3 linked regions of the Rhinolophus ferrumequinum genome follow. The protein of the gene in region 1 binds, or shares a complex with, the protein of each later gene. Links are inferred from orthologs where the notes say so. Each region holds a gene or a part of one and is shown in the gene's direction. Other genes may lie near its edges.

Region 1 (10,964 bases):
AGGATTAAAAAAATTTTAAAAGACCAAGGATGTCAAACATTCAACTGAAAATCCTGGGAAAGAGATTTGTTTAATCTCAGATCAGATTTGAGAATAAGAATATCTGGGATCCTGGACTCTGATTCCAAAGGAAGTCAAGACTTCCTTCTCCACAGCTGCTCTCTAGAAAGCTGGTATGTCCAAGTATATCTTCTTTCACTGTGCTGCCCAAGGGTGAAAAGCAGAGTACCATGTCTCCTCTCTCAAAGGCCAAGCCAGGGCAAGGTCCCTACCCTCACTCTCCTCCAAAAAAAAAAAAAAGGTGCCAGATCTGACATCCTGTCTGGTGGAAGCCACATCCTTAGAGAACGATTGAAATTGCATCATCCCTCACCTTGTTGAGGCATCTTTTCCTTTAAATGAAGGGCAAGTGACCATTAAAAGTGGCTCCCAAAATAACCCAGTGGCTTCACTGCACTCAGAATGTCTGACATCCAGAATTGAGGAAGCGGATGTACCTCCTCTGAAGTGGGAAGGGAGGGTAGTGTGACCCTTCACACTGTCACCCTTTACTCACTGACTCAATAGGAACAGCTGCCAAACTCACAGGACCTTAAACATCTAGACAAAGGATTGTATTCCTTAGCAATTTATTTAGACATTTAAAATATTAGACCCACCCTGAGGAGAATGAATTCTTGGCAAAGGGAGTTAATGATAGTAAAGCATTGAATAAAGTCAGAGTTCTCTCACAACTAGAAAGTAGGAAAATATGATATTAAAATGAGAAGAAAATATAAGGTGGAATTTCTTCATATGAAATGACTTCTGTTTGCAATAACTAGACATTTTTTAAATTTTGAATATCCCAACTGAATGTGTCATAGTAAGAGAATAAAAGATCTTAAATTGTAAGAGGCAAATACGGACGTGCCTCTAAAATAAAACTCATAAATTGATAATATCATAAAATTCACTAACCCTATACTATCAACAGTGTGTGAGTATGGCTAAGATAAATACAGGAGCTCATAATGTAAACAGAAGTTATCACTGAGTAATGTATCAAGAATGGTTTTTCTGATCTTTTTTTATGCTTTTCTAGTTTTCTTTCCTAACACAATAAGCTGGTATTAGTTATATAATTTTTTAAAAATCCACAAAATTTGCAACAAAAACAAAATATTCAGAAGACGTAAATGTTTTAATGTAAGAAAGGCCTATGTTATTCTTTCACTTTAAAAAGAAAAACAGAACAAATAAAAATGCATTTTGGTCATCCTGTCCCATTTTCTGAGGGAAAAAAGTCTTATTGTGAATTTCTTTTTCTTTTCTCTAGTAATTGTTTTATTGAAGGAGAAACACACATCCAGAAAAGTACATAAATCATAAGTGGAATACACCTGTGTTATATATAGAGGTTGCCGGCATTAAGTACGCACATTATGGTTTTAATTTGCATTTCTCTGATAATTAAAGAAGTTCAGCGTCTTTTCATGATTATTGACCATTTGGATATCTTCTTTTATGAAGTGCCTGTGCAAGTCTTTTTACCCATTTTTTTTATTGGATTGTCTGTCTTTTTCTTGCTAATATGTAGGGGTTCTTAATATTATACAGTTTGGATATAAGTTCTCTTTGCAATATATGCATTGCAAATGTCTTCTCTCTTTTTTACCCTTTTTGAGGGTCAGAAGCAATTAACTTTAATATAGTCCAATTTATCATATTTTTCCTTTATGATTTGTGTTTTTGTGTGTGTCTTGTTTAAGAAATCTTTGCCTACCCTACTGTCATGAAGATATTCTCCAATATTTTCTTCAAAAAAGGTTTTAGTTCTATAATCCATCTAGAGTTGATTTGTTATGTAAAGAGAGAAGTAGGGGTTAAGACTTATTTTTTTCCATATGGATATTTAATTGACCCAGTGCATTTATTAAAAGAACATCCTTCCCCCCCGCGGTACTGTATTGCCATCTTTGTCATAAACTGGGTGATCAAATACATATGGGTTGATTTCCAGATTCTCTATTCTACTGCATTGGCCTATTTGTCCTTGTGCCAGTGCCATATTGTCTTAAATACTCAATCTTTAGATGGATCTCGATATCTGATAGTGTAAATCCTTCAGCTTTGTTCTTCGTTACCGTCTTGACTATATTTTATTTTTCCCTTGAATTTCCTTGTTCATGTTGCTATTGTTTTAATAACAGCTTTATGGAGAAACAGTTCACATAACATACAATTCACCCATTTAAAGTGTACAATTCAATAGTTTTAATAAATTCAGAAAGATGTGCAGCTATCACCACAGTCAGTTTTAGGACATTTTCATCACCTCGTAAAGAAACTCCATACCCTTTAGCTATCATCCTACTATCACTCATTCACCTGCCCCAGCAAGCCCTAAGCAACCCCTAATCTGCTTTTGGTCTCTATTGATTTGCCTGTTTTGGAAATTTTATATATCATATAACACATGGTCTTTCGTGATTGGCTTCTTTCACTTAGTATAATGTTTTCAAGGTCCATTCATGTTGAAGCATGGATCAGCACTTCATTCTTTTTTATGGGTAATATTCCATTGTACGAATATGCCACATTTTGTTTACCCATTCATCAGTTGATGAACGTTTGGGTTCTTTCCACCTTTTGGCTTTTATGAGTAACGCTGCTATAGACATTTATGTACAGGTTTTTGTATGGATGTACATTTTCATTGCTCTTGAGTATATTGTTAGGAGTGGAATGGCCGAGTCATATAGTAACTCTATATTTAACAGTTTGAGAAACTGCCAGACTGTTTTCCGAATATCTGTACTATTTTACATTCCCATTTTAATATTTTTAAAAAATGTTTAATGTTGTTTTTAATTGAATAAGTTATATATAATAAAAATTCAAACAATACCAAACGAAAAGGAAACCTTAGTCTACCCCCAGACTTCTTAGGGCTCCTCCTTGGAAGCGACCACGGTTAACAGTTTCTTTTGTGTCTTTCCAGAAATTTTCTATTATATAAAGCATATATGTAAATATATCCATTTTCCTATAACAAATAGGACCATCATACACAATGTTCTACTCTGTTTTTTCTTTTGTAACATAACACATTTTGGAGATCTTTCTATACCAGCATAGATAAGTCTATCTAATTCTCTTTGAATGACTGGATAGTACTTCTTTGTACAAATGTATGATAATTTATTTAATTGCATTCCATAATTTACTCTCCTCTCGATAGTGGAGTTGTTTCCAGTTTTTAAAAAGATTTTAAATATTGCAGTGAACATGCTTTTAAAGAATCTTTTTTTGGACATATGTCTAAGTAAATTTGTAGGGAAAAATCCTAACAGTGAAATTGCTGGGTCACTTATGGGACTTTAAAAAAAAGTTAGTGCCACAATGCTGTTTAAAAAGATTGCAGCAAAAAAAAAAAAAGATTGCAGCAATTATACTCCTAGCAATAGTGTCTGAGAGTGCTTCCTCCCCACACACACTTGATATTGAGAAGTGAAAGGTGATATCTAATTTTAATTTGCACTTCTCTATTAAATGAGGGTGAACATTTTCTCATATATTTGAAAACTCTATTACTTTTTCTATGAACTATGTATATTCATGTGCTTTGACCATTTTTCTGTTGGGTAGATGGTCCTTTTTCTTTCTTTCTTTATTTATTATTTTTATTTATTTATTTATTTATTTATTTTTTCTTTTTCTTTATTTTTAAGAATTGTTTTTATAGTCAAGAAATTAGACTTTTGTTATATATATTGCAATCATTTGTTTTCTCAAGATCTCACTTGTGTACTTATGTCTTTGTACAAAGCATTTTTCCCCCATGGAGAAATTTTAAATGCTTTTGAGGTTAATTTTATCAATCTTTTACCTTTATAGTTTTTGGGGTTTGTTCTTGCTTAGAATGGTTTTTTTCCATCCCAAATTTTAAAAAACTATTTTCTGATGTTCCTTTTCTGATGGACTTTCTGATGAACTTCTATGGTTTCATCTTTGATGAACCTGTAATTCATTTTTCACATAGGAGTAAACTAGAGAGTCACCTTCATTTCTTTCCCAAATGGCCAGTCAGTTGTCCCTAAGCCTTGTACTGAATATTCTATGTAAATGAAAGTCCTGGACATTTCCCAGATGTTTACATACTTTATTATATTTTACCAAAAATGGTGGTGGCCCAATGCTGGCTCATTCCACTTACATTTTTATTTGAGTGTTTACATAAACACAGGTTGATACTAAGCAAGTCACTTTTTCTCTTCCTTGGTAAGAAAATAGATAACATTCCAGAACGATTGTCCAAAAAATTGCTTACTGATTGAAATTTCTGGAGAGAAAAGCCAATATTTTCTTGACCAACATTCCATCATATGGGTGTATCATAAATGATGTAATAATTTCCCTTTTGTTGAATATTTAGGTGGTTTCAGATTTTAGCTATTTAAATAATACCATTCTGGTACATAGCTTTCCTAATTTCCTTACAGGAGATTCATAGAAGTGGGATTACTGAGTCAAAGTGTGTGAATACTACTGAAAATCAAAATTTTTTCCAGAAAGCCTCTATTAATTATTCTCCTTCCGTCAGATTATGTTTACATGATGAAAATCCACCACTCGCACCATTTATTTAGTTCCTCTATGTTGGGCACTGTTCTTTCACAATTTGATTTAATGTTCATAACAATCTGGTACAGTAGGTAGTATAATTCTCATTTTATAGATGAGTTAGCAGAGGCCAGAAAGAAAATAATCAGTCCAAGGCAGAACTGGAATGAATCCAGGTCATTTTTTCTCAAATTCGTGCTCTTCTGTTTGTTTGTTGTTTTCTTTTATTTGATTTTGGACCTCATAGAGTACCGAGTTAAACCTAGCTCTCAGTTCATGATACATTTTCATCATTGGTTGACCTTGTATTTCTTGGTTCCTCACATTTGTGATCTCACTATGATATGTACGTATGGGATGAACCATATGAAATTGCCAAAATCTAAGCACTTTTTACACGCACAAACGGCAACTCCATACGGTCCAGGCTAATACATAGTGTTTATCACATTGTAATCACTAGTTCACACACATATATCTGAGTCTTATTCTTGTCTATATGGTCAGCACTTATGTTAGGCACTTAGGAAAAGTTGACAGGATTGATGAATCACTGCCTATCTAAAATGGAAATAAGGAAAACTCCTATCTTGGGCTATTCTAACAAACTTAAACCACCAGGGCATTTCTTGATCTGGACTCCTCAAGCTACAGTGAGGGTTTAGAAATACCACTCAGTGGAGGCCAACCCTCAGCAGCATTCACAGAATCATAATATTTCCGTATTGGAGGACTTTCATATTTTTCACAGGGTGAAAATGAGGCCTTGAAAAGCTCAATCGATTTGTCAAAATTCCACCAGTATTCATTTGCACTAGTAAATATAAAACTGTGCTAGAATTAAGATAGCCTGCCTTGCTCCTCAATATACATTGTTCTGAAAAAATTAGTTTCAATTAATTTTTATGTTTATTATTTTACTCTGATATGAAAAGTTGGCATATTTAACATGAATACAGAGTGACATCTACACACACACATGCATACATTTACATGTTTTCCTATATATTGAAAACTATGTGTTCACATCAATACTTCCAATTCCAAAACAACACCACAGGGTTTTCTCTCTTTCCCTTTCCTTCCTTTCCTGATTTGAAACTTCTTTTTCCCACAGTGAGAAATCTGGCTATATTATCTTTAATCATATTTAGGCCCCCATCTAAGCTTCCATGCCTCTCCACTTGGCTCTAGGGCTACAAGATTTAGTGGAGGGCTGCCTACTTGGTGGGCACGCCCTCCTCACCCTCTCTGCTTTCTACAGCCTCCTTCCCTGCTTGAGTGGCTGACACCCTGCTCTGGACCACCAGTTGTAGATGCTTACTTTGTTTCTGCACACCTAATGCCTTTAGGATTACTTTAGCAAGGACAAAGGGGAAAACTGGATGAGCATATTTGAGTAGGCATTGTGCCTCTTTTATCTTAAGCTTTTTATTCTCATCTTTACTCTTCAAGTTTCATAGAGCTGGGCTTATTGGATGAAAGGGTTTTTTATTTAAGGCTTTAAAAAATATTACTAATCTGCTCTCAAACAGATTGCCCCAATTTACAACCTTATCAATACTGAGTATTCATCTCACTGTACCCTCATCGGTAGATCAGTGGTATTACATATATATGTATGTAATATATATATAATATATATATATATGTTTGTATGTATATATATAATATATACGTATGTATGTACATATATACCAGATTGTTAAGCACAAGGAGTCTCTCAACAAGTTTTCTAATCTCCCACTTTGCCTCTCCTCTTGTCATGAGAAGGGGTTCTTCACCTTATTTTATTTTATTTCATCTCTGTCAATGTAACTTAGTCCCGGGGCTCCAGTCACTACAGAGGAGGAGTCAGCAGGGTACCGTCCAGAATAAACTCAACACAACGGCTCCCTGGGGGAACCAGGATGCATGACGTCCTTTTCCGGAGGGTCTACCTGGCTGCCTCCGGTCAGCAGAGGGCGCTGTGGAACCCGCGCCGGACTCCGCCCCCAGGGCAGCGCGCCGCGCCCCCGTGACGTATTTCCGCGTCATCTGCCTCCGAGGCTTGCTCCCATTGGCTGTCGGCGAGGCAATTGGGGCGGAGCCGAGTGGGTGTGTGGAAAAGGCAGCAGCCCCAGTGGGGGGCGGGGGGCGAGGCTTCCCCCTTCCCCACCCCTCCCCCGCCTCCCGTCCCTCCCAGGGACCGCTTCGCGGAGCGGCTAGAAGCGCGGCGACGGCGGTGGCGGTACTTTCTTGGGTTGTGGTTGGAGCAGGGCTCTGGTGCGCGCTCGGCGGAGCCGCTCGAACCCGAGGAGACCCGTTGACTGAGGGAAAGCGGGAAGGAATCCCGGGCTGCCGAACTGCGCCGGCGAGGAAGCCCTTCGGTTCCCTGTGCGCCGAGCCCTGGGCGAGTTAGGGTGGGGGTCCCGCGAGACCGCCACCAGCTCCTCGGCGCTGAGGGGACCGCGCGGGGCGCGCCCCCTCGAAAGCAGCCCCCAAGCCCGCGACTCCCAGTTGGCCCCGCGTGGCGGTCGCGGGGCAGCGCAGAGGGAGGAAGCAGAGGGGCCGCCTTCCCCTTGGAGTTGGAAGCGCCTTTCCCGGGTTCAAAATGCCCAAGAAGAAGCCGACGCCCATCCAGCTGAACCCGGCCCCAGACGGCTCCGCGGTTAACGGCACCAGCTCGGCGGAGTAAGTATGGGGTGGGCGGCGACCGCCAGGCTGGGCTGGCGAGGTCCCCGAGGGGGTGCAGGAGCTTGTGCACCGCGCGCCGAGCTCCGCTCGAGTTCGTCACGTACGTCTCGGAATGGCAGGAGCGAGGAACTCCCGGCTGCCGTGGTATCTGTGACTAAGCACTGATTGTGCTCCGGATTCAGGCCAGTCAGTCTCGATTTTTCCCCTCTTTCCCGACCCCTTCAGTCATCCCTGGCCACAAGAAAATGAAAGATTGGTTCACCCGCCGCCCCGCCCCCCTCCCCCCGCTGTTTTCTGAATTCGATCCTCTGGGATTCTGACTTGTAACGGGGAGAAGGGAACACATTCTTGGAAAGAATTAAGATGTTATCTGCATCTTGGAGACTGGCTCAGGGTATGGAGTGGAGTTGGGACCAACTAGAGCATCCTCACCTAGGTGCCTGACACCTGTGGGCCGGGAATGCCTGGTTGCCGGCCCGCTGCCTGGCCAGCGGGGGCGTGTGTACACCGACAACCCCGTGAGGCTCTTCCATCGCCGACTTTGGGGGCTCCTGGTCCTTGCCCTTCTTCCTGGAAACCATCTGGTCTGATAGGGAGCGGCTTTCCTTTTCATCTGACTTCATTCATTCCTTCATTCTCTCTTTCATTCATTCCTGCATTCTGCAAATCACTCCTCACCAGTGCCTCTCCTGGCATTTGTTACTTCCCCGTGATCCCCACACTCCTGACACAGGAACACCAGGGCCACGAATACTACACACAAGATGCTCCATCTTTGCAGCTTCCAGGGTTGCTCACGAACCAGCACTCGATTACATTAAATTATAATGAGATTGTTTCATGGGGGTTTCTGAGCTCCCCCAATTTTTTTGGTTTGGGGTGAGGTACAGGAACGACTGTGTAGGGGAGAGAGACCCTGCTAGCTGGAGAAATAACCAGGAAAGATTTGGCTCTTATACTTTTACCTGCACACGGGAGACTTTAGGAAGCTAGCTGATTAAGTGAATGGAGCAGTCCTGAACCTTCTGCCCTTCGGTGATTTCTGTAACCTTCCTTCCTCTCTAGATTTTCATAGTCCAGGGACCTGTTGGTGACTTTGTCCATCTCTGTAATGATCCTAAGGCCAGTAGTGGACCTGTGGTGTGAGCTCAGCCAGGTTCTTCACACCTGCTCCCAACAAATCCTCTTCAATCCCCTAGTGTCTGTTTTGCATGATATTGACTTGTACAGGTCAGTGCATTGCTTTGCAAACATTCATTTAGTTTTAGTGTACAGAATTTTATCCCCTTAAAACAGATTGAAAACCCCCAGAGACAGGGGATTCCTTAGTAACTGTCACTGTTTTCAGGACTAACTTTTGACCTTTTGTTTTGAACAGAGTGAATTCTGGCTGAATGTTGTGACCTGATCATTCTGCTCCTATTTGATTTGGAGGAAGGTACTAAGTAGAAGTACCTGTTCATTCTGTTGTTAATTGTGACACTACAGTTGTATTCTTGCAAAGGGGAGGAAATTTCATTAACAGAAAATCATACAGAGAGGAAAAGAAGAAGCTACCCTGGAGCTGATGGCAGAAAAATTTGGGTGGGACTGGGAGATTCTAAACAGTGGTTAAGAGGTTGGACTCTGGAGTTAGGCTAAGTTTGAAACTTGGCTGTGTTACTTGTAGTTTTGTGACTAGGGACAAATCTTTTAGTCTTTTTAAGGCTTAGGTTTAGTTTTTTCATCTGTGAAAATGGGGCTAATGATAGAACTGACTTAGGGTAGTTGTGAAGATTAAATAAGCTAATACATACCGTGTTTCCCCGAAAATAAGACCTAACTGGACCATCAGCTCTAATGCGTCTTTTGGAGCAAAAATTAGTATAACACACGGTCTTATTTTAATATAGTATTTAAGACCGCGTCTAATATAATGTAATACCCAGTCTTATTTTAATGTAAGACTGGGTCTTATATGTTATAAGACCGGATCTTATATTAATTTTTGCTCCAAAAGATGGATTAGAGATTATGGTCCGGCTAGGTCTGATTTTCGGGGAAACATGGTAGTAAATCTTCCATAAACGTTAGTTAGTGCCTTTGTTAATTGGATAAATGTTGAGAAGGCTGAAGGAAACTGGAAGGTAATTTTCATTCCTCCGGTGGATATGTGTGTGTGTTAAGGTGCCTTTGCTTCTGGATGACTCTCCCTTGCTTAGTTTTCTGTGCCATCTGCATCCACCTCCATGACTCATTGCTGTGTTACAATAGGAGGCATCTTTGTGTAGGCTGCCTGAGACAAACAGGGACTGTTCCACTACATTTTCTGGCACTAATGGGACAAGGGTTGGTATTAGAAGCTGTACACATCTTCATCTTTCACCTTTGAGAGTGTTTCTCAAGCAAAGCTACTGTTACCGTGATTTCTGTGATTCCATCAGGGCACAGTTGTGAACTCTATCATACAGTGTAAACTAAAGAAGAAAAAAATCCATTGACAGTAAAGAACTATTGGTATTAAATTGGCAAGATTGCTTCTCTGTGGCTCCCTGGCACCTTGTCTGAACGTAGCGCTTAACCCGTTCAGACAGAGCTAGGTTATGTGGAACCTGAAGTTTATGCAGGTTCTGGGAGGTGCTTGAAGAAAATGAATACAAAAATACTTCTTTTGCAGGTTTTGCAAAAAACGTATGATCATATTGGAAGGGTGCTAAGTGTTGGAATGAAATTAATTGGGAATAAGATCATATTCCCCTCTTTAAAATGTTTTCATGGTTTCATTGCAGTTAGAATAAAATCCAAACTTCTTATATTGGACTATGAGACTCTGAGCCACTGTGTGGCTCCCACCCCCATCTCTTTGATTACATTTCCTGCTGCTCCTTTCTTCCACCACATTGGTCCTGTTTCACTTCCTCGGTGGGATGATCCGTGCTCCCATCAGGCCCTTGCATGTGCTGTTCCTTTTTGCCTGAATCATCCTTTCCTCTTCTCAAGTTAGGAAGGAAGCAATCTTCACCTCTCTACTTAAATGTCATTTCCTCAGAGATGTTCACAGACTACCTAAAGTAGATCCCTTTTTCTCATGTCACCTCAGTAGTTTTTTGCTTTTTTTTTAAAAAAAAAAGTTAATTTTTTTTAACTTTTATTTATTTAAGTGTGTTTTTCCAGGACCCGTCAGCTCCAATCAAGTAGTTGTTTCAGTCTAGTTGTGGAGGGCACAGCTCACTGTCCCATGTGGGGATCGAACCGGCAACCTTGTTGTTAAGAGCACTGCACTCTAACCAACTGAGCAATCGGGCCACCCTTGCACCTCAGTTTTTAATGACACTCATTCACTATCAATAATCTTTTCCTAGGGTATTTTTAATATTTCTCTCTTCTGTACGCCATAAACTATAAGCATAGGGCTGCTTATTTTTGATTCACTGTTCTGTAAGTAGTACCTAGAATACAGTATTTGGCACATAAATAAGTGCAGAAATGTTTGTTGAGTGAATTGTTGAGTGAATGAAATTTCTAATATTTGTACAATGTGTTTAATAATTTTTATACCTTTTCATTTTTTCTTTTATTTTCCCTCTTATTCTTATTCCCCCACCCCCATTTGCTTTTCTTTCACAGTCACTATTCACTCACTCTAGGGTATTCAGTGTATAGTCTTATCAGTCTACCCTTTTGTTAGGTATATGTGTACCTTT
Region 2 (10,252 bases), on another chromosome or scaffold:
CAGAAATGCTTTGGGAAAGCAGTATGTTGAGCCCTTCAAGAAGTCGGCCTCAGTTTTGTTCAGTTTCAGGCCCACTGGCCACTCCTCTAAACTGCCATTGCCTAATTTGGGTGCCTAGTCACAATGCAACTTAGAAAACACTGGGGCCAGCTCATTGCTAATGTGAAGGACGTGGAAATATGGACTGAGACTTTTCCTGACGACCCAGAACTTCAGCTAAAACTTCAAAGGTGAGGGCAGTGGGTAACAGTACTTCCCCCTGCTGTTAAGAGGTGGCCAGACTGGTCCTTTGACCGTCAATAACCATCAACCTCCAGCCTATATAAGACAAAGTCAAGATTTTATCCAGAGGAGGTTTCTCTGACAGGAAACCCCTTTGTAGCAGGGGTTTCTTCTCCCCTCCCAATCTCCAAGCCAAGAGAGGAAGGTGAAAAGAAGAGACTGGGCACACCAAGGTAGAGGGGTGTGTGTGGGTGTGTCTGGCATCTCACCGCCGGCTGAAGGCTGCCTGCCTAGGGCTGCCCATGATAACAGGGTGAGGATGAGGGCAGCAGGACAAAATGCATCCTGTTTCCCATGGGCCAGAGCGTATGTGCTTACGCTTGAGTCACCCTGAAAAGACTCACGCAAGAGGACAAACTGCCAGGCAAGGGAAAGTCTGACAGAGGATGTGGGAGTACTTCCGGGGTTTTGAATGTAAAAGGGGTGTGCAAGCGGTCACCTGGCAGGTCCACTGAGTCTCTATAAGGTCCTCAGGGAATCTCCCAAGAGGCATTCCATGTAAAAGAGCCAGCATGTGAGTGCTTGCCAGGACACTGGGGGTGGAGGGGGTGGAACCTCTGGCACTCAAGAGAGAATTATACCTGTACTCACCTGTTCTTAGCATAGGGTCCCTTTTCCACTCATTCCTCTGCTCCTGTAACAAGGTGAGCTACAGAGGAGGCAGGAAAGGACACACCTGCCCTAGTCTCCACTGCAGATTGCTGCGCCATTTGTGGGTCAGGCCAGAAGGGGCAGGGAAGAAGGTAACAAACTAGATATGAGGAAGAAGGTTTGATTGCACTAGACTAGACTTCTAATACCCGAATCCGAGACTGTTCTTACAGTTGATTCTAAAAGCTATGGGATCTAATGAGACATTGCCAAGTGCAGCGGATGTAGTGGCCCAGTAACGATAATTTATTCCCACTATTGATAAAGCCATTCTGAGACATGCGTCATTCAGAGGTAGGTAGTACACAGTTTCTGGGATGCCATACAATAACAACACAGTTCTCATCAGTTAGCTCCAGTTTTCCAAGCTTGAAATTGGTGAGGTTCTTATTGATCTGAGGTGCCAACCACCATAAGCCATACCAGGGGCAGCAAATGCAGGAAATAAGAATAATGAATGATGGGGGCTGAGTTGGCACCTGGTGAACTGGAGAGCCTGTGCCCCACCTGAAAGGGATAGCTTTCTCTCGCATCTAGTCACTTCTTCCCGACTGTGGCTAGATGTTCCCATTTTCCCGGAAAGGCCAGAAATCTCCATTTTTTGGTTGCATCTCCCGATTTTGGAATTATTGCCAAGAATATTAGCCAGGGTTCCTTGTTGCAAATGATACAATCTACTCCAGGTAGTTTAAGCTTTAATCGGGCAGTACCCTGGACTGAATTGCGTCCCCCAAATTCAGATGTGGAAGCCCTCACCCCCAATGTGTCTTTACAGCTTTTAGGAGGCAATTCAGATTAGATGAAGTCAAAAGGGTGAAGCCCTAATCCAATAGGGCCACGGCCTTATAAGTAGAGGAAGCCACATGAGCCATGTCTGCCATGTGACGACACAACAGGAAGGTACCATCTGCAATCCAGGAAGAGAACTCTCACCAGAACCCAGCAATGCTGGTACCTTGATCTCAGATTTCCAATCTTCAGCCCTGGGAGAAAAATTTCTGTTGGTTAAGCTGTTCAGTTTGTGGTATTTTGTTATGGCAACCTGAACAGACTAAGACAAGTGGTTAGAAAAACCAATAGAGTCTCTAGGCAGGGAGGAGAGCCAGGCTTAGGCTGCGCTGCCCAAATGATGCCCCAAGCACACCATGGGGCTGCCCCTGTAAACACCATGCCAGGCCTCTCAGCACGAACGCCAGTCTTAGCCACGGGCAGGACACCTGCACGCAGGTACACTGACTGCCATGGTCACAGTCAGGTAGATTCCTTCTCTTTGTTGCTACCACTGCAGTAGGACAGAACCTAGATCCCATGAAACCTCCTTGCAAGGAAGTTTCTGGAAAAGTGCTTTGGTTTTACTTATGGCGAGATGGGACTCATTTTCCAAACATAAAAAGGATATTCAAAGAGGGCTGGCTGGGTGCAAAGCATAACAAATGTCCACGATAGCAATCAATTGACAAAAATGGGGGTGGTGGTGGTGGTGGCGGTTACAGCACTGCCTGTTGATGACTTCTGACCTATGGGTTGCTTTCATTGCTTCAACTTCCTCTGAAAACAACTAGAAAAGCCAGACCAAATCATCACCATCATCGTCATCATCTACTTAAAGGCACTCAGAGAGCTGGGAAACAACCAGGACTAGAGGGGCCAAGGTTCTGGAGAGAGAGGAATTGTGGTGAGATGAGCTGACATTCTGTAGCCACTTTTTCCTGCTGGTGGGGGACAGAGACACCAGCAGAACCTTTGGCAGTCTCAAAGGGCTGGAGAGATAAAACTAGGGGATTTGAGAGGCTAATATCCTAGGGAGAAAGGAGGGGCAGAAAAGTGAGCTTGATAGTTGGTGGTTTCCCCTTAAGACATTTGGCAAATTCTGAAACAGTGCTGGCCAAGAGACTAAGAAGCCAAGCAGAAAGTCCCTGAAAAAGAGGGCAGTGTTCAGCCTTGCCATATTATGGAGATAAGGATTAGAGCTCAGCACTGGGAGGGTAGGGGCTGCCGTGAACACCTAAAATTCTCGGTTGGAATCCCTGAAAGGCAAAGCCATAGAGGTGGGGACCCAAGGTAGGTGCTGTCTTATGAAAACTGCAACCCAGCCTCCTCCCAGCTCAGCCTCTGATTGGATTAAGATGGTCAGTCCCCGTGCCATCTGTCTTGCAGAGAAAGGGTGAGCCTTCTCTGGAATTAGATAGCTTCACCTGGAGACTCTCCATATTTTTTTTTCATGCACAGATTGTATGGCATTCAACAAACATTACATGGCTTGCTAAGAGACAGGACTAAATTACTGAAGACAAAGAGAAAAATAGTCAATAGAAACAGACCCCACAGGTGACCGAGGTATTGGAATTAGACAAGTGTTTTAACCTTAATATGTTCAAGAAAAACAAAGCAACCCCCCCCAAAAAAAGAAAACAAAATGGGAAAAATAGGTGAAAAGAGAATTTTATCAGAGAATTGGAATTCATAAACTTCATAGTCCAAAAGATTGAGAACACATAGAACTCCCTTGAGCTTCTCATCAACAGAGGGATTTTAAAATGCTGCTTCAGCTCCGTACGAGCTATAAAACCCTATGGCCCACAATCTATAAAAAAGTTTGCCATGACTGGCTGTCGTTCTCTCTACTTCTCCAGTGACTTCCTTGAAGGGACACCTATTGTACTGTATGTTCTGAGTCTACTCTGGCCCATAAGCCCAGGTCCCTGGCGTGGAGCCGTGTTCACCTGGATAAAGAGATGCATTTTGCTAATTATCCTAAATACATTCTTTGGGCAATGTGTGTTGGGACTACGATTAGTCAAGATGGTCAGGGAGATAAAACCTCTCTGAGATGACATTTGAGTTGATGACACTGAGTGATAAAGAGCCAACCAGGAGAGGATTAGAGGGAAATGTGGTCCAGACAGAAGGGACGTAGAGGGCAAAGAACTCGGAGGCAAGAAGATGTTTGGTGATTTCATTCGAGTCTACCAGCTTTTCTGTAAAGGTCCAGATAGCAAATATTTTAGGCCTTGCAAGTCTTAACAGTATCTGTTGCAACTATTCAATTCTGCTGTTATAATGCAAAAGTCAACACAGACAATAAACAAAAGGGTGGCAAGTGCTCCCTTTTTATTTATGGACACTGAAATGAGAATTTCTTATAATTTTCACATGTCAAAATATTCTTTTGATTTTTCCCCCCAACCATTTTAAAGTATAAAATCCATTCTTAGCTCTGGGGCCATAGTTTGCTGCTATAAGGTTGGTTAGGTAGGCTGGGATCAGATTACGCAGGACACATGGGACATGGTGACAATCAGGTTGAGGTAAAGCCTCTTTCCCTTTCCACTTGGAAAGCCACCCGTCAGGGGAACTGCAGATCGGGGTACCAGTTCTGGGAGGGCAGCTTCCTACAGCTCGTGGAAGAGCATAGGTTCCTTTTATTTTTTCCCCCAGTCACAAGAAAGGACAAACGAACAAAAAGACAGGCACGCGCGCACACACGGAGCCAGAAAGCCAGAGAGGACGTGCCCAGGTTCACGCGGACGCTTCTCCAGCACGCACTGAGCGTTTTAAAGTTGGGCGCACACCTGCTCCCAGGCAGCGCGCACCTGCTGAGCAGCACTGCGTCCTCGTCTCGCGAGAGCGGGGCTGTAGTAGTGGCCCCCACCCCCCCCCCCACCAAAGCCCTCTCCCCGCCCCCCTGCCCAGCCTCCGCGCTCTGGCACACACGCTGCCGTCTCCACCGCCCCCGGGAGCAGCGCTGGCCCGCCGCGCGCGCTGCCCCCGCGCCCCGCCCGCCGCCCGCTCGCACGCACGCCGGGTAGTAATTTCACTTTGCCACGCGAGCTCCGCATCCCCTAGAAATCCCGCCCCCCCGCGGCCCCTGGGGAGCCGTCCCTTCCCCGGCCAGGTGCGCGAGCTCGCGCGCGCCTCCTCCGCCGCCTCCGGCGGGGCCCTGGCGCGCCGGGGCCGGGGCCGGGCCGGCTGGGGCGGATGCGCGCACGGCGCCTCTCCACCAACCCGCTCCCCTGCAGGTCCCTCGCTCGCTCTCCATCCCTCGCCGGCGCTCCCTCGCTTCCCCCGCCCTTTGATTGACAGGCAAGATGTCGGTGTGGAGCGAGGCAGGAGCGAATGCAGCAGCCGTCACCCCCGGAGCCCGGCGGCGGCAGCGACAGCAGCAGCAGCAGCGCGAGGAGACAGCAGCCAGCCGCAGTCGCCGTCGCAGCCGCGGGAGCAATGCGGACAGCATCCTGAGAACGCGCTAAAGCACCCCAAACAGTGGACAATGCCGTGTCCCTGCAACTGGGAGAGGGGCAAACCAGATTTTTTTTGACATAAAAGCCAACCAGCCAAAAATATATAATTTTGCCCTTCACGGAGCCGGTGTGTAAAGAGTGAGCGCTATTTTCCTTCTTCTCCGCCTCTCCCCCGTCCTTGCCTCCCCCCTCCTCTTTTTCCTCCCCCCCCCCCTCCCGAAGTGTACGGACAGCATCACATCACCTGGTTTGCTTCTGAGAAACAGCATCTCTCCTTTTCAGGGACCAGAGACTCAGAGAGAGGAGACGTTCTAATGGAGTCGGCTTGATACCCCAAAATAAAATAATAAATTTTGGCTCTTGTCCCCTCCTCCCACCCCCCCCCCACCCTGTGTGAGATGTTGGGTTCCTTCTTCATGAGACATTGTTGAGAAGTCGCAGTGGTTGGAGAGGCGTGGGGGTAGACTACCTCTACTCCCCCCCCGCCCCCCTTTTTTCTCTCTGAGAGAAGGAGGAGGGGAAGGGGGCTTGCAGAGCAAGCGATGGATGAGGAAAACATGACGAAAAGCGAGGAGCAGCAGCCTCTGAGTTTGCAAAAAGCCTTACAGCAGTGCGAGTTGGTCCAAAACATGATAGACCTGAGTATCTCCAACCTGGAAGGGCTTAGGACCAAATGTGCTACCTCCAACGACCTCACACAAAAAGAAATCCGGACCCTGGAGGTAGGTGTTGCTTAGGGATGGGGGCGTGGGGGGCTGGATGGGGGAAAGCAGCCCTGCCTTCCCTCCCCTTTCTCCCCACCGTCCCCTTTCCTTTGATTCCGTTTGTTGGGGGGTTGGGGGTGGGAGGGTAGCAAGAGGGGCACGATGTGGTTTTCTGTGATTTATCTTCTTGCAAAGCCTGCACTGGATGTCCCTTTGCTGTACTGCTGTCGTCTACGCTTGGCTGGGTGGTGGTAGTAGTAGTAATTGTTATTCTTTATTATTATTCTTGCGGCTGTTGTTATCATTCGCTTCCTCTCTGAGGAGTGAGTTCTCGCTCTTTTCCGCTTGTGGATTTGTTTATATGCCACGGGGGTTTGTGTGCTGGGTAAGACATTAGGGCGCTGCAGAGAACCCACGTGATCTTCCGCATTCTGCAGGTGGTCAAAAGGTGGTTTTTGCTCCCGGAATGGGGTTGCCTATAAATATAGACCTCCTCTCCCGGCCTCTTTCCCAGCCCCTGTTTGCTCCCTGGATTTCGTTGTTTTCTGTTTTCTTGGTTTGTTTTTTTTCAGTGATATACATGTCAGGAGGCAAGATGCATTTAAAAAAATCCTCACTGAGCTACCCATGTCCAGTCCAATCATTTTGATGCAGGGAGCTGTTGCAGGCCTAAAATGTGTAGAAAGATTTTAAAAAACCAAAAAACAAAAAAGCTTGGTTCAGCACACACAAGGGGTGTGGGAAAATACTCTTGAATCTCGGTGGGATAGCAAACCAGGTGATGCCCTGCTGTCTGTGCACTTGGGGAGGAGGAGGAGGGAGGAAAGGGGTCGGGGGAGGAGTTATCTTTGGCTGTTGTAACATTCTCTCCAACAGAACTTGAGGGGGAGTTTGAAGCAGTTTTGTGTGGGGGGGTGGGGGTTGGGGTAGATGCAACGTTACTCAGAGAGAAGATGGCAGAAATTGTTTCTTCCGAAGGCCATTTGGTCAAAGGAGGATGGTTGCAAGAGCCTTAGAAGATGCCTGGTGTCTACCCAAGCGTTGGGCACCCACGTTGTTTGGAACATCTGAAGGGCCCGACTCACTTCCCTCCCTTGAACTGGCCCAGCTGTACACATGGCTTGATTAAATTTGGGAACTCCCATTAGCTGGCAGTTGCAGAGGGTGGTGACAGTAGGGCTGGGAGCAAAGGAAAGAGACTCTTCCTGTGGTGGAGTGGGCATGTGCAGTGCTGGCAGCTTCACTGTTGGCAGCCCATGGCTTTCCCAGGTCTGAACTCGTCAGTCCTTACTGAGTCCTTTCGCCCTCCTGCCCCCGTGCTAGTCTGGATGAGCACCCACTGATTCCCGTGCACGTCTTTTCCCTCCATGGTTTTAGATTTGGCTGGATGTTAGAGGCAGGAAGGTCATCAGTTGGAAAATAGAGTTAGTGCTGTGTGTGTGTGTGTGTGTGTGTGTGTGTGTGTGTTGAATATGCTGTTTGCTACCCTAGAATACATGTCTCTGTGCACCTGTCACCTGGGAAAATAATCCTCAGAAATGAAATAAGATGAATGTCAAGGGGTGTCGGAGGGCTAGAAATGCTGTGGGGAGGCCCACGTAGTTTCTTCCTTGGAGCTTTGGGAGAGCAGTGTAGGTTAGGACTCTGCTGCTGGGAGAAAAAGTATGGGATGCCCTGAGCCAGCCTTCTGTCTGTCTGAGCAGTGCCCAAGATCCGACTCTGTTCCGAATGGCATGCCGTAAATAAATAAATAACCCAAAGGGCCACCTGCGGCCTCTCCTCTTCCTCTGAGCCGGGAGTCCCACATGCTAGTTTGTGGATTGTTGTGTAAAATTCTCCTCTTTGCTTTTCCTCTGTTCAACATGCTCCACCCTCTGACAACCTCTGGACAATGGGGATGGTCGCAGTGGACCCTGGATCTGGTGGCTGCTTTTCTGCATGGTTGTTTTCCTTTTAAACGGGGTGGGGAGGGTGGGGTTGGAGATATTGGTATGTGAGGCGGGAGGTTACAGTTATTGGGACTGCTCTGACCCGGTGTACCTCAGAGCAAGCCACCAACCACTCCATCCATATTGCCCAAGGAAGGGTCTCGAGCAGTGATGCCAGTTCAGGCTTCCCAGATTTCTAGGGCTAGAGTGGGGTCACTGAAGATGGGCTGGTGACTCGGGGGGGTCCAGCCAGGTGCTGCCAGACTTCACTTAGGCTTTGAACCCACAGGGTGGTGGTTGTTTTGTTTTTTTCATCCCAACAGTTGTCAAAATTTGTATGTGAAAGCTACTCAGGGAGCTGCTTAAAAATGCACGTGCTTAGCCTTAACCCCAGAGGTTCTAATTCAGTGGGCATTGGAGGGGGCCCAGGACTCTGCATTAATGAACAGTGCAGCTGTTTATGATGCATGTTTTCATACTGACACTTTGAGAAATAGAAATCTATTAGGAGATAGATGTCATTTCTCAGCTATTTCATGGTAACAACTTACGGCTCCCAAACACTAAATAAAATATTAAATCGAACAGCCCATCCCTGAAAACCTGGGTAATAAGCAAAATTTACTAAAATGCATATACCCCTGTAGAAACAAAAATATACAACATGGATTTAGCTTTCAGGAAGCATACTTCATGGTTGGAGAGGCAAGGCTTATAATATATATGTGAAATAATGATGAAATCCAAACAGGTAAAAATATAGGGAAAAGCCTGTGGGTCCACTAGGAATGTGTTCAGCTGCATGAAATGGAAAATCCAATCACTGTGGGTAAGCAAACAGTGGCTTCTTTTGCTCGTGTAACAAGAAGTCTGGTGGTATCCAGCTGCTTGAGTTGGCTCGGTAAGTTAATAATATCAGGGCTGAAGTCTTTGCAAATTCTCATGGTTGCAAGATGGCCCCTGAAGCTTCAGCCGTTACACCCAAGTTCAAGGTACGAAGGAAGGGAACTGGGTGAGTGTGAAGGCATAACGGGTTCATATCGTTGTTTGGTTCCCCCAGGACACCTCCGCCTCCCTACCCCACAGATGATGTGTAATTATATCTTCTTGACCAGAACTGGGTCAACTGGCTAGTGCTAGCTGCAAGGCTGGGAAGTGGAGAAGTGGGAACACTTATGATTAGTTTGATGGGTCATGATCTGTTGCCTTGGTTGACCTGTTGCCATTCATACAAAATCAGGGTGCTGCTAGCATGGAAGAAGGCGTGAGGGATGTTGGGTGGATAGCTAGCACATCGGCACGGTATGTTTTAGGGAGATGTTTTGGTGGAGACGAAAGACCATGAATTTTGGAGTTAGACTAATGCAGTTTGGAATTCTAGCTTTTCTACTTTACCTTGGGCTAGTGGTTTAATTTTTCTGACCCATGGTTTCATTTCTGGCAAAATGGCAAGATTACGTACCTCAGAGGTGGTTGTGAGGATGAAAAGAGGTGACATTTTCAGGGGTCTAATGCTATCTCTAGCACTGTTCCTGCAGATGCTAAATAAATGACAGCTACTATGATGGCATGATTAACATTACATGGTGTGGAGTCTATGACATTGAAGGGAACAGCTCAGATCAGAGGGAGTGAAGAAAGGACTAGAGCAGCCTTTCCAAAGTATGTTCTGTGGATCCCTAATTCTGTGGAAGATTAGCGTTTTTCATTCTTTCGACAAATGCTAAAATCCACGCACTGTGTTAGATGCTGGTGGTCAACAAGTACTCTGTAGATGAAATGAATTCCATGGTTAATATGTTTGGAAACAGCTGAGTTAAGCAAAGAGAAACATGTGTCTTTACTGCAGGACTTTTCAGAGCCTTTACTATGCCCTATACATGTATGTTGTGACTTTCCAAGAGAGGATAGAGTCTGCAGTCTCCTTTTTTACAGGGATATCTCTTGGGATTGATGTTCCATGGAACACACCTGGGGAAATATATGGCAAAGCAGTTAGGGAAGTGGTCCTGGTTGGGGACCTGGGGACTCTGAGTGGAGTGAAGAATGGGGAGGGTTTTGATTGCAGTAGGTGGCTCGCTGGATAAGACCAACAAACCTGATGAAGGCATGAAAATGCCTTCATGGTGCGGCTCAGAGACCAGTTGGCCCAAAATGGCAGTACCTGATACAGTGTCATAAGAAATGAATTTAGGTCGCTAACGCCTGGGCTCTGACATAGGATGGGGGATCACATCAACAAAGTTTCATCCGTTTGAGGGAGGAGACTTCTCCCTCAAAGGTTTGGGAGCGATTAAATAAAGATATTTAAAGGTTAGTCTGGTGGCTGCCTGCAGCCTGCAGCAGGGGCCGTCAGACTTTTTCTGTAATGGGACAGATAGTAAATAGTTTCGGCGTTGTGGGCCATATGGTTTCCATCACAACCACTCAAGTCTGCTTTTGGAGC
Region 3 (10,853 bases), on another chromosome or scaffold:
GGGTAGTTTGTAGAGATAGAAGAAAGTATGAAAAGCCATCTCTGAGAACATGAACTTGAAAATGAACTTTCTAGGAAAGGTTGGTAGGCTTGCCAGGCATGAAGAGTGCCAATTTGAGGCTTGTGGTCATGAATTTAAAGAACAACCCGTCAGCAGGACTGTGTGCTTTCCGCCAGCATCATTCAGCTGCTCTGGTGGAGGCCTAGAGAAGCTGAAGGGCTGGGTTTTATGAGGGCTGGAACTCGGCCAGGTTCATATGGTGGAAAAGAGGGGCAAGTTTAGTGAGGGGGGTTAGCTAGGGGGCGATAGTCATAATGGAGCGTGGAGTCCACATGGGGTAAGAAGGGAAGGAAGGCCGTGAAGCGGGTGACAGTGGTAAAGGTGATGACGACAATGGATAAGGGGGGAGAGGGAGCTGGAGCCCCTAGTGAAAGAGTTGAAGTGATCGGGAAATGGGTACAAGAAACCCCAACACGCAGGGAGCACACAGTGCACCCTGATGGCTTCAGAAGGGCAAGGACTTGAAAGTGGAGATGGCTGAATCGTTCGGAAGAGGTAACTGGGGCAGAGAGGGCCCCACATCCCCTCCTGGCCTTCCCTGACCTGTGTCTCCCAGGTTGCCTGGAAAAGCCCATGATAACTTGGTTGTCTTCAGTTTTAGGGCCAAGAAGGCCATTTTTCAACTTGGCTCCTTCCCGCAACCGGACCCAGAGCTAGTTCTGACACACTTCACAGGTGGTGGTGGTGTGTCCTCTAGTATGAGCACCTAGGCCACACAGGGGTCGGTATCCCTCAAGAGAGGCCCTGGTGTCTTCACCTGGAAAATGCAACCCATCTTTTTTTTTTTTTTTTTTTTTTTTTTTTTTTTTTTTTTACACTGAAACACGTGTTAAAGCTTGTGGGCCAGGCCTATTTATTTTATTTCTTTCATCCCACCCAGCCACCCTGGAGGGAGAGCTTATTATACTTCTTCTTCTTCTTTTTTTTTTTTTAAAGGTTTTTTATTGGGGAAGGGGAACAGTTCTTTATTGGGGAACAGTGTGTACTTCCAGGACTTTTTTCCAAGTCAAGTTGTTGTCCTTTCAGGCTTAGTTGTGGAGGGCGCAGCTCAGCTCCAGGTCCAGTTGCCGTTGCTAGTTGCAGGGGGCACAGCCCACCATCCCTTGTGGGAGTCGAATAGGCAACCTTGTGGTTGAGAGGGCGCGCTCCAACCAACTGAGCCATCTGGGAGCTCAGCGGCAGTTCAGCTCAAGGTGCTGTGTTCAGTCTTAGTTGCAGGGGGCGCTGCCCACCATCCCTTGCGGGACTCGAGGAATTGAACTGACAACCTTGTGGTTGAGAGCCCACTGGCCCATGTGGCAATTGAACTGGCAGTTAGGAGCATGGAGCTCTAACCGCCTGAGCCACTGGGCCTGCTCCTATTATACTTCTTTTTACAGAGGAGGAAATATAAGCTCAGAGAGATGAAAACTTTTCCTAGGTCATATAGAGTCTGCGTGAGTCCACGAAGCTCACGATCCAGTTAGGGAAATAGACAAGCCGAGAACCAAAATATGTGATGTGTGCCAAGTTCTCTGGGACGGTGGAAGTTAGAAAGACTGATTCTGTTGTGGGTGGGGTGTGGGGGGCATGTAAACCAGACCTACGGGCTGAGCAGAAGTGTATGTGGGGACATGGGAAAGAAGCAGAGCAGGCAGAAGTGACAGCCTGAGCAAAGGCACAGTGACATGATACTCCACAGGTGGCCCAAGGTTGTTGAGTAAAGGCAGCGAGGACCAATAGTTAGGCAGGGTTCCTAAACTTGACTACAGTCCTGGGGCTCATGGATACCCTCCCGGGGGACCACAAACCCCCTGACATTGTATCACTATTGTGAGTGTGTGTATTAGTCTTTCTTGGAGAGACATTTTTAATTTTCATCAGATTCTTAAACTGAGACATGGACTCAAAAAAGTCTTGGGGAGCAGAGGAGCTTAGAGCGGATGGCAGGGCCTGGGAATGAAGGACCTTGTAGGACTTGTTGAGGAATTCATGCTTCACTCTGAGGTCAGTGGGGAAGCCGAGGGGTTTTTTTTTAGCCGGGAAACAACACGGGAAGGGTCTTAGGAAGACAACACAGGTTACTGTGAACTCACATCCAAGTCTTTTATAAACGATAAAGGGATGTACTGCTTACTGCCCTATTCCCGGAGTCTAGCACAGTGTTGAGCATATATTGGGGGCTCTGTAAATGTTGAATGAATGAATGAATGAATGAGCACAGGTATATGTAATAATAGAGTGCCTCTCTCCAGGGTGATGCCACACATTTCCTGGACAATTTAACTGAAGGTGAAATCCAGGAAACCAAAATTCCCCCTGCAGTGTCCTGGGTTCTTAGAGAAATCTGCTGAGTCCTGATATGATGCTGGGGGTGGAGATGGGAATAGGACAGGGACTGTGGTACCCAAGGTAGGGCTCCCCTCACAGAGTCCTGCGGTATCTCTGGAGGAGCAGAGGCGATATGGCCAGGATAGCTACCATCATTCCTTTCCTCCTCCCACATTCAACCCATCAGCTTGTCCTGCTGACTCGGTCTCCAAAATGTGTCCTCCATCCCCTCTCTTTCTCCATCATCTCCTCTCCCGTGCTGCTCCTGTTCCCGCACCTCCATGGGCAGCAGTCTCAAAATCAGCCACCCCCCACTCCCCCGCTTCTGCCCTGTCTCTCTGCTATCCACTCTCCACGTGGTGGCCAGAGGGATCTTTTCAAGCACTTCCCTTGCAAGGAATGTGGCTTTCTTCCCATGTCCCTAGAGAGCTATGCTTCTAAGACTTCAACATACATCCAAGCCATATGGGGATCTTGCTAAAACCCAGGTTGTGGTTCAGTTGACCTGGGGTGGGGCTTGAGACGCTGCGTGTCTGACCAGCTCCCAGGTGATACAGTAATCTTGGACCACGTGAGGAACAACACAGACCTAGAGAAAAATCCAAACTTCCTGCCCATGTCCTCCTTTATCTGGCTCCTGCCCAGCAACCCCACGTCATGGCCAACCCCTGTTCTTCTCTCTCATCACACTGCAGACACACTGGCCTTCCTTCTGTTCCTGAGCCAAGCTGTTCCCGCCTCAGGGTCTTGGCACGTTGTGTTCCCATTGCCTAGAATGCCCCTTTCTAAGAGCTCCATGCGGCTTGCTCTTTTTCTTTATTTAGATCTTAGTTCAACAGTTAGTCAGAAAGTACTTCTCTGACCTCTTTGTCTAATGAGCACTTTATCCTCTGGGAACTTGCTATGGCTATTTGCTTAACCCCCTTCGCAGCACTGGTCATTCTCTGTATTTATTTTAGTACTGTCTTTGTTGACTTGTTAATTTTCTGTCTCTACTCTCCCATTTGTTCCATGTGAATAAGGACTTGGTTACCTTCACTCTGAGCCTATTCCAGAGCCTGGCACATACATGGTAGCTTCCCTTTTCATGTTTGTGAAGAATGAAACATGAACATGCTTGCATGGCTGCTGTGTTGTGGAGATGTAGGAAGGGGAGTCCATCCTAGGAAAACTTAACTGCGATGCTACTGGAGGTGCCTGAGGCAGAGGGGCGGAGGAGGGAAGGAGCGAACTGTCTGTCCTAAGGGAACCACGGAAAGTCTCACGAATCTGGAGCTGAAATTGAACCTAAGAATCAACACGTAGTAGATGAATTCACCTAACTAGAAGAGACTCACTCTGGAAGGTGGGGAAGGAAAGTAATGAACAGGAATTAAATGAGTGACGTAAGGCATTTGGTTGGAACAGTGCTTCGCACACAGTACTTATCGAATAAACGACAATAATTATGTTGAACCTTTACTTTGTGATCATCACTTTGCATAGTCATCTCCATTTGTCCTCCAAACATATCATCTTCATCTTGCAAATGAGAGGGACTATGAGATTAGGGGGCTTGCCCAAAGTCACATGGCGATTCAGAGACGGAGCTGAGAACCCCACTCCCTAAAACAGCTCTGTTGAAGTTGCAAATGCTGCAGTTCCTGTCCCCCTTCCTTGCTTTATGCTGCCATAGCACCTGTTACGACCTAATACACTGTGCATTCTACTTATTGGTTTGTTCTCTGTCTTCTCTCACCAGACTATAAATTCCTGGTTTAGTTCACTACTGTTTCTCAGAGTCCAGAACACAGAGGCCTGCCGCATAAGTAGACACTTAGTGAATACTTACTGAATATTAAAAGGATGCATAAAGGGATTATTTAAAAATCCTTGCTTTCTGCATCTCCAAGAGGCAGTTCTGTAAACATGTGGCTGCCAGGACACCCAAACCCAGTAGAGAAGGCTCGAGTGTGTCTGAGATGAACCGGGAAGGAAAGCTGTGGCTTACTGCATGCTTTCAACAAATCAGAAGGAAGACTGTGTCCACAGAAGAGGAACTGGCTACATGAAGCCTGGTGGGACAGCAGCCAGGGAGCTGGGGTTTGCCCAGTCTCCAGCGCTGACTGCCGCTTGCCATGGTCGGTGTGGATGCCACCGGCAGGCAGCGGTCTTCTCAGGATATGGCTTTCCATATAAAGTGGCCCCGGGGGAAAATGTGTTGACCAGGCCTCTATGGCAATTACAAGCTTGATGTAAAGGCATAAATCGGCACTTAATCAGGAAATCTCTCGGGAATTGAGTTACCACTAGTGAGTCAGTTGCTCAAGCCTGGCAGCTCTGACTGCTGACCAAATAGAGGTTCTAAACCAGCCAGGCTGCGCTGTGAGCCTACTTACCTGACATCCCTCTGTGCCAAGGCTCCTCAAAGTTCAGCACCCTAGACCAGCAGCATCAGCATCACCTGAGAACTTGTCAGAACACAAATTCTCCAGCCTTGTGTTCAATCTACCGAAGGGGAAACTGTGTGGGTGCGGTCGGTCACTGTATTAAGGAGCCTTTGATTTTTGAGCCAGGAGATTTTGATCCGCTGTCAAGTTTGAGAACCACTGTCATACAATTTCTCTTTCAGGGCAGTTATTACTCTGCCTCATGGGGGAGGGTGGGGTTAAGGGAACAGTCAGGGTTGGAGGGTTTCATACAGAGACACAGCACGCGGAGTCCTGTTACAAATTAAGTGAGGATTGTATCAGTGGTTCTTGGTGGAAAGGCTCAGGAATTGGAGAGGAATTGGGGCGGGAGGGGGGCAGTGGGGGCGGGGAAGCCTCTTGTGTTTCAGAAAATTTCCAGAGGAAGGGTTAGTTTGCAAAAGCACATTTCAGTTATCATGGTTTTGTTTTTCAGACCTTAATATTTATTTCAAAATTTCAAATGACATGAAAGGAAGGTGTAAAATAAACTGCCAACCAGTACTGACTATATGTATAGTTTGTGCAGGAATATAATGCTGGGACCCTACCTTCTGTCCAATTCTCATTACCCACCCCCCCAAAAAAAAAAATGAAGAGAGAGAGAATTTACTAATCTGGCCTGAGAGATAGGAGAAACAGAAACTCGGCTTAGGACCTGCCTGAAGAATTAATGAAATGGGTTGTGCAACTTTATGGAGTGCCTACTGTGTGCCATACACTGTATTTGGCTCTGTGAAGAGGATACCAAGATAATTTAGCTAGCCACTTGGGCAGCCAAGGAGCTTACGAGAGAAAATTCAGAGAGAGAGTTCCTCTGGTTGGCAGATGTTGGAAGTATGGATGTGTGGGACCTTTGATCTGTGTCTTGGCTTTTCGGTTTAGCCAGATCATAGAGCACATGTGAACCGGTAGGAGATGGGAGGGGAGTGTGGGAATGGTGATTTGATGGAGATTGAATGCTGAGTGAGGAGGCATAGAAAGGCTCAAACAGACAACTACTAGTCTAGAAGGGGTACTGTACCCATTCCCACTGCTGGGGTCTGGGGCTACGTTTAGAAGATATGAGGTTAGATAGTAACAATTGCTGACATTTACCCAGTAACTACATGTGGCAGCAATCAATCTAAGTGCTGTAAATACATGAACTCAGTCTTCATATGAATCCCAAGAGCTAGGTACTATTATAACCCCATTTTTACTGATGGGGAAACTCAAGACCCTCAGAGGTGACCTAACTTTGACAAGCCACACAGCCAGAGAGTGGTAGAGGCTGAATTTGAACCCAGGCTGTCGGCCCCAAAGCACTCCCAAGGGCACGACCAATCAATGTACCGCCCCAAGCGTCTGGGCTGTCCTGCTGGGTTGGGGTGGCAGAGATGGGACACTTATTCTGGAGGGTAAAAAGGGTCTAGAAGAATGCCCTTCAGTCCTTCTTCATGCGTGAGCATTTCCTTTAACATAGACAATCGGGGGTCCAGCTTTGAGAAGCCTCTACAGGACAAGCACTTTAGGCCCCTTCCCACTAGATGGCGGCCCCTAAACCCACACAGAAATTCTGGAACCTCCACTGTCCCCATCTTCCGTGGTTTGGCTGCGGCTGAGGAATTGCAGGATGCAACTCCTCCTCTGGTTCAAGGGGCCGTTGGCCCCTGCCCCGCCCCATCCCGGGGTCGCGGGAAGCCCCCAGGATGGAGGCGAGCGTGGGGGACAGAGGTGGGCGGGGAGACGAGGCTCCCCGGGCTTTGGGCGTCCCGGGGAGGAGTCGGCGCGGAGCAGCCACTCCCGGGACACAGAGGCGGGTGCTTCCACACCGCCAGCGCCCACCGCGGAGGGGAAGGCCGGAACCGCGGTGCTCCAGGCGCAGGGCGCGGGCTGGGGCTCCGAAGGCGCGGGCCGGGAGGCAGGTGCGCGGCGTGGACTACAAGTCCCAGCATGCCCAGCTGCCTTGACCCGGCCCCTGCTGCCACTTAAAGGCTCCGGGAACCGCAGCCGTCGGGTCGCCGCGGCTTTCGCTTTGCCGCCGCGGTTGGGCGGGCAGGAGCCGTGAGCTCGGTCGCCGGCTCTCCTCGCGTCCGGGCTCCTGCACCGCCGAGGGGCGCTCCTCGTGCAGCCCTCCCGGCTCGAGGATTCCCTTCCGAGGCGCCCGCGTCCCCGGGCTCCCCGCCTCGGCCACCCCGCGGCCCCGATGCCGAGGCATGGATAGAACGGCAAGGCGCGCGGCGGCGATGGGGGAAAAGAAGGAGGGCGGCGGCGGGGGGGACGCGGCGGCCGCGGAGGGGGGCGCCGGAGCCGCGGCCAGCCGGGCGCTGCAGCAGTGCGGCCAGCTCCAGAAGCTCATCGATATCTCCATCGGCAGCCTGCGCGGGCTGCGCACCAAGTGTGCGGTGTCCAACGACCTCACCCAGCAGGAGATCCGGACCCTGGAGGTAAGGCGGCCGCGACGCCAGAGGGTAGGGGACCCGGGCTGGGCTGGAAGAGACCGGGGTCTGCAGCCTGGGACGCGGCCCCCAACACTTCCCTCCCTGCTCCACTTCACTCCTTTCCCAGTTGCATCCTTGAGCCCGGGTCGCCCCCCTTTGAGGCTTCTTCCCTCCTCCATTCGCTGATGCGGCGGCTTGAGGACCCAGGACCAGCCCCTCTGTGCGGGCTTTTGGGGGAGGGGCGGAGTGGGAACTAGGATGCGGACTCCGGGAGACGGTGGGCGGGGTGGGCTGCGCGCGGACATCCCCTGCCTCCCCACCTCCGCCCCCACCCCATTTGCAGCTTGCGGGGCCGCAGGACTCATTCTCTCACTGAGTCACACGCTGGACTTTTCCCTGTGTGACTTAGCGGAGCAGCCGTGGGCCGGGGTGACGGGGCGGGGGTGGGGGGGGAGGTCCCCCTGAAGTGTGAGCAGAGGCCCGTCGTTCTCTGCTTTTCCCACACGCCCCAGACTGCCTTTTCCCTTCCTTTCCTCTCCTTCAGGTTCTTGTCTGCCGTTTTCAAAAAGTGTTGCTGAAACTGCATTTTTGCTCTTCAGGCATTTGGTGCTTTCGTTTCGCACTGCCACAGCGTTTCACTGCTCAAACCGACTCTCCCCACTCCCCTCCAAACATTGGATTTTAGCTTAGGAAGGATTATGCTGGAGAACGAGCCTTTGGTGAGAAGATGACACTATTTAAGGGCTTCTGATGGAGACAGCCTCCAGTGTAAAGAAGAAATAAGATATACCCGCCCTCCTCTCTCAAATTATATCTGTGGAAGTGCGGTATTAAAAGGATTTGGAAGAAGCAGCCAAAAGGGTTGTTGGGTTCTCTGAAGGGGGAGTCTCCCCCTCCCCCATACACAATAGAGGGAAACTGGTGCATTCCCAACTTGCTTTTGTCCAGAGGCTGGGAAGGCTGTGGAAATCCAGAGACCAGTTAATAGGTAACTCCAGCTTGAAGAAGGGGCTTCACCTTGCATTGCCACATCTGGCCTTCTGCACATCTGGCGATGTTTTGTTTTATTAGAACGGTAATTTCACAGCCTATCCCCCCACCCCCTTATTGCTAATTGCCTCTGCCAGCTGTCATAGGGCCAGCTGGTGATTTGTGGTAATTATTACAAGACCCAGTCCTCTGTGCACACCACAAACCTGATTCCCCGTTTGATCTAAAATGCTCTGGGGTGAGTTTTTCAGTTTTATTTTCTTAAGCTATAAAACCCGGACATTGGAAGCATCCAATCAGTGCTGGCTATTATTATTTTTGTTACAGTTGCTATACCATTACTGACCAGGGCTTTGCTTAAAAATAAAAACCAACCAACCAACAGCACCCCCCACAACTGTCCCTTCTGCAGGCATGCTGCTGTTTTGCAAGTGGTGAGAGAAACTGGTTTCTTAAACACAGCCCAGTGTGTTTGCCCAGCAAAGTTCAGTTTTTAAACCAACACAATAGGGGGTCTGTGAGGCTTAGTTCCTGGAGGAGGGGTCGTTGTCCAGCAGCATGTGCCTGGTTGGACCGCTGTGTTGTTGGCATGAGAGAACGTTCTCTGTGTTGGCCTCTCTCAGATTGTCCCCATGGCGGTTTGAAGTTCTCCTCGTTTGCAGAGTGGCTACAGGAGAACCATTTGCTGCTTGTTCTCTGGAAATGGCGCTTTGCCCTCTTGATACCCTGACTTCCAGAGTAGCTCATTTTGACCAACGTGTGGCGTCATGACACCCCAGAGCATCCAGCTGTGTAGGTCTCTGAGCTGGTTTATTCAGTGGCCTCCCACCTGAGTGTTTATGGGATGATCAAGCCAGAAACCCATCTGAAGTGCATTTGCAGTATAAATGGGAACCAGCTCACTGTCTTCTTCATTGTCATGTGAGTTCAGGTCCATGCTACTTCTTGAAGGAGGGACCCAGGTTGTTGTGAGGATGGGAATTGAGACCCCTGGAGCTAGTTTGGAGGCCTCAGCCTCCTCACCTGAACAGGGGGGACGGTGTGGATCTCTGGGTTCTTGTGGCTCTAAACACTGTGGTTTAGTGAAGGTGCCTCAATTGGGCTGAGTCAGTGTTTGTTATACATACCTCTGTTTAGGAATATCCCTGTTTAATAAACAAACAGACTCATAGACACAAACAACAGAATGGTGGTTACCAGAGGGGAAGGGGGTTTGGGGAGGACGAATAAGGTTAAGGGGAGGTCAAATACAGGTGATGGAAGGAGACTAGACCTTGGGTGGTGAGCACCTAATAAGAGTGTACAGATGTGTTTTGTAGTTGTATACCTGAAATTTATTAATCAATGTTACACTAATAAATTTAATTTTATTAATGTTACGCTAATAAATTTAATTTTACAAGACTAATAAAAAAAATGAAAAAGAAGTATATTCCCTGTTTAAGAATGGTTCTAAAGTCCAGATTTATCAAACTGTTAAAATAGGGGGGAAGTTGATTACTCAAAGATTCCGGATGATAGGGGCAGTATGGCAGATGGGATAGCCCATGGCTTTGATTTCGGGTCCAGGTTCTGTCTGTGTGACCTTGGGCAAGTCCCACGACTTCTGAATCTCAAGCTTCCCCATCTGTAAAATGGGGATGAGACTGCTTGAACCTGTTGTGAGTCTGTAAGTCCACATTCTTCCTACTAAGTGATGCTGCCTATAAACTTTCCCTAGCGAGGATCCAATGGCGTTCACGCCACAGGCCACCTTTAGGGGAAGCTACTTCATAGCTGGCTCTTATTTCCTAGTGGTGGGTGACACAGGCCCAGAAACCATCCCAGCAGCATGGGGCAGTGGTGATGTCCACTCTGGCTTTCCTTCCTGTTCTGCAGGATCCTCTCACATACCAGGGCCAGGGCCCCCAGAGAGACAGTGCTTGCAACACTGGATTCCTGGCTTTTGGAGAAGGGACTGACCAGAGGGCTTGGCTTACGCAACTACGCCAGACTTCTCCCAAAGTCTTAGGAACCCCAGCCCACTCCGGCCCTCGTTAAATAAGCATTCACTGGGAAAAACATCACGTGAGATGCTCCTGGAAGTCCTTGACCCCAGGCCCAGCTGCTGGTGCCGGAGACTGCAGACTGTGACAGTGTGCAGGGGTCAGCGTGCCTGGCTGCCTATGATGACTTTCTCCACAGAGTAGTCCAGTTTGGATCCAAAAGAGTGGAAGGAGCCAAAGCTTAATGTTTGCCTCCGACCTGCCTACCTGGTGCTGGTCGCTTCTCCGTCTGATGAGATTTCCTGGAAATCCACCAACGTTCATGACACACATAGTTTTTCTCTTTACGTGGGAAAGGGGAGGAAGACAAAATTTGAACCCAGGGTCTGAATCTATAAACAGAAGTGGTGAGGCTACTTCATCCCAGCAGCACCTGGTACCCCATCTCACTCAGACCCTCTGAGGGGTCTGAGAACTCCACTGAGACAGCATAGAGTGTTCTCATTCATCAGATATGCTCACGTGGGGATACCTAGCTGGCTTCACAGCGGGGCCTGAAGCCCCACACCAGTTCATTCCCTCATGTATTCATCCTCTTTGGGCCGATTCTGTGCTGGGCGCTGGGGAGACAGTGGCCC

The links.
Region 2: the proteins of MAP2K1 (region 1) and KSR2 are in contact, whole or in part, in a crystal structure (PDB 7UMB), measured with the Homo sapiens proteins. The link is inferred for Rhinolophus ferrumequinum from reciprocal best matches to the Homo sapiens genes MAP2K1 and KSR2. Residues at the interface, in NP_002746.1 of Homo sapiens: Val81, Glu102, Met219, Ala220, Asn221, Ser222, Phe223, Val224, Gly225, Thr226, Arg227, Ser228, Met230, Arg234, Leu235, Gln236, Gly237, Met308, Ala309, Ile310, Phe311, Glu312, Leu314, Asp315, Val318, Asn319; in NP_775869.4 of Homo sapiens: Lys674, Arg818, Asp820, Lys821, Leu822, Arg823, Ile824, Gln825, Asn826, Ile837, Arg838, Gln839, Leu840, Ser841, Pro842, Gln877, Pro878, Ala879, Glu880, Ala881, Ile883, Trp884, Gln885, Gly887, Thr888, Met890.
Region 3: the proteins of MAP2K1 (region 1) and KSR1 are in contact, whole or in part, in a crystal structure (PDB 9AXH), measured with the Homo sapiens proteins. The link is inferred for Rhinolophus ferrumequinum from reciprocal best matches to the Homo sapiens genes MAP2K1 and KSR1. Residues at the interface, in NP_002746.1 of Homo sapiens: Asp217, Ala220, Asn221, Ser222, Phe223, Val224, Gly225, Thr226, Arg227, Ser228, Met230, Arg234, Leu235, Gln236, Gly237, Met308, Ala309, Ile310, Phe311, Leu314, Asp315, Val318, Asn319; in XP_011523731.1 of Homo sapiens: Asn767, Gln768, Leu769, Lys770, Leu771, Ser772, His773, Leu776, Val784, Arg785, Met787, Thr788, Pro789, Asn823, Gln824, Ala825, Ala826, Glu827, Ala828, Ser829, Ile830, Trp831, Gln832, Gly834, Ser835.

Annotation. Positions count from the first base shown.
Region 1 is NC_046289.1:44,580,527-44,591,490, reverse strand, and holds the start of MAP2K1 (dual specificity mitogen-activated protein kinase kinase 1), read left to right. Parts: upstream 1-6,683; 5' UTR 6,684-7,198; coding exon 7,199-7,278; intron 7,279-10,964. UniProt on the Homo sapiens protein: Dual specificity protein kinase which acts as an essential component of the MAP kinase signal transduction pathway.
Region 2 is NC_046308.1:11,440,744-11,450,995, reverse strand, and holds the start of KSR2 (kinase suppressor of Ras 2), read left to right. Parts: upstream 1-5,522; 5' UTR 5,523-5,716; coding exon 5,717-5,896; intron 5,897-10,252. UniProt on the Homo sapiens protein: Location-regulated scaffold connecting MEK to RAF. Has very low protein kinase activity and can phosphorylate MAP2K1 at several Ser and Thr residues with very low efficiency (in vitro).
Region 3 is NC_046304.1:19,619,129-19,629,981, reverse strand, and holds the start of KSR1 (kinase suppressor of Ras 1), read left to right. Parts: upstream 1-6,779; 5' UTR 6,780-7,015; coding exon 7,016-7,246; intron 7,247-10,853.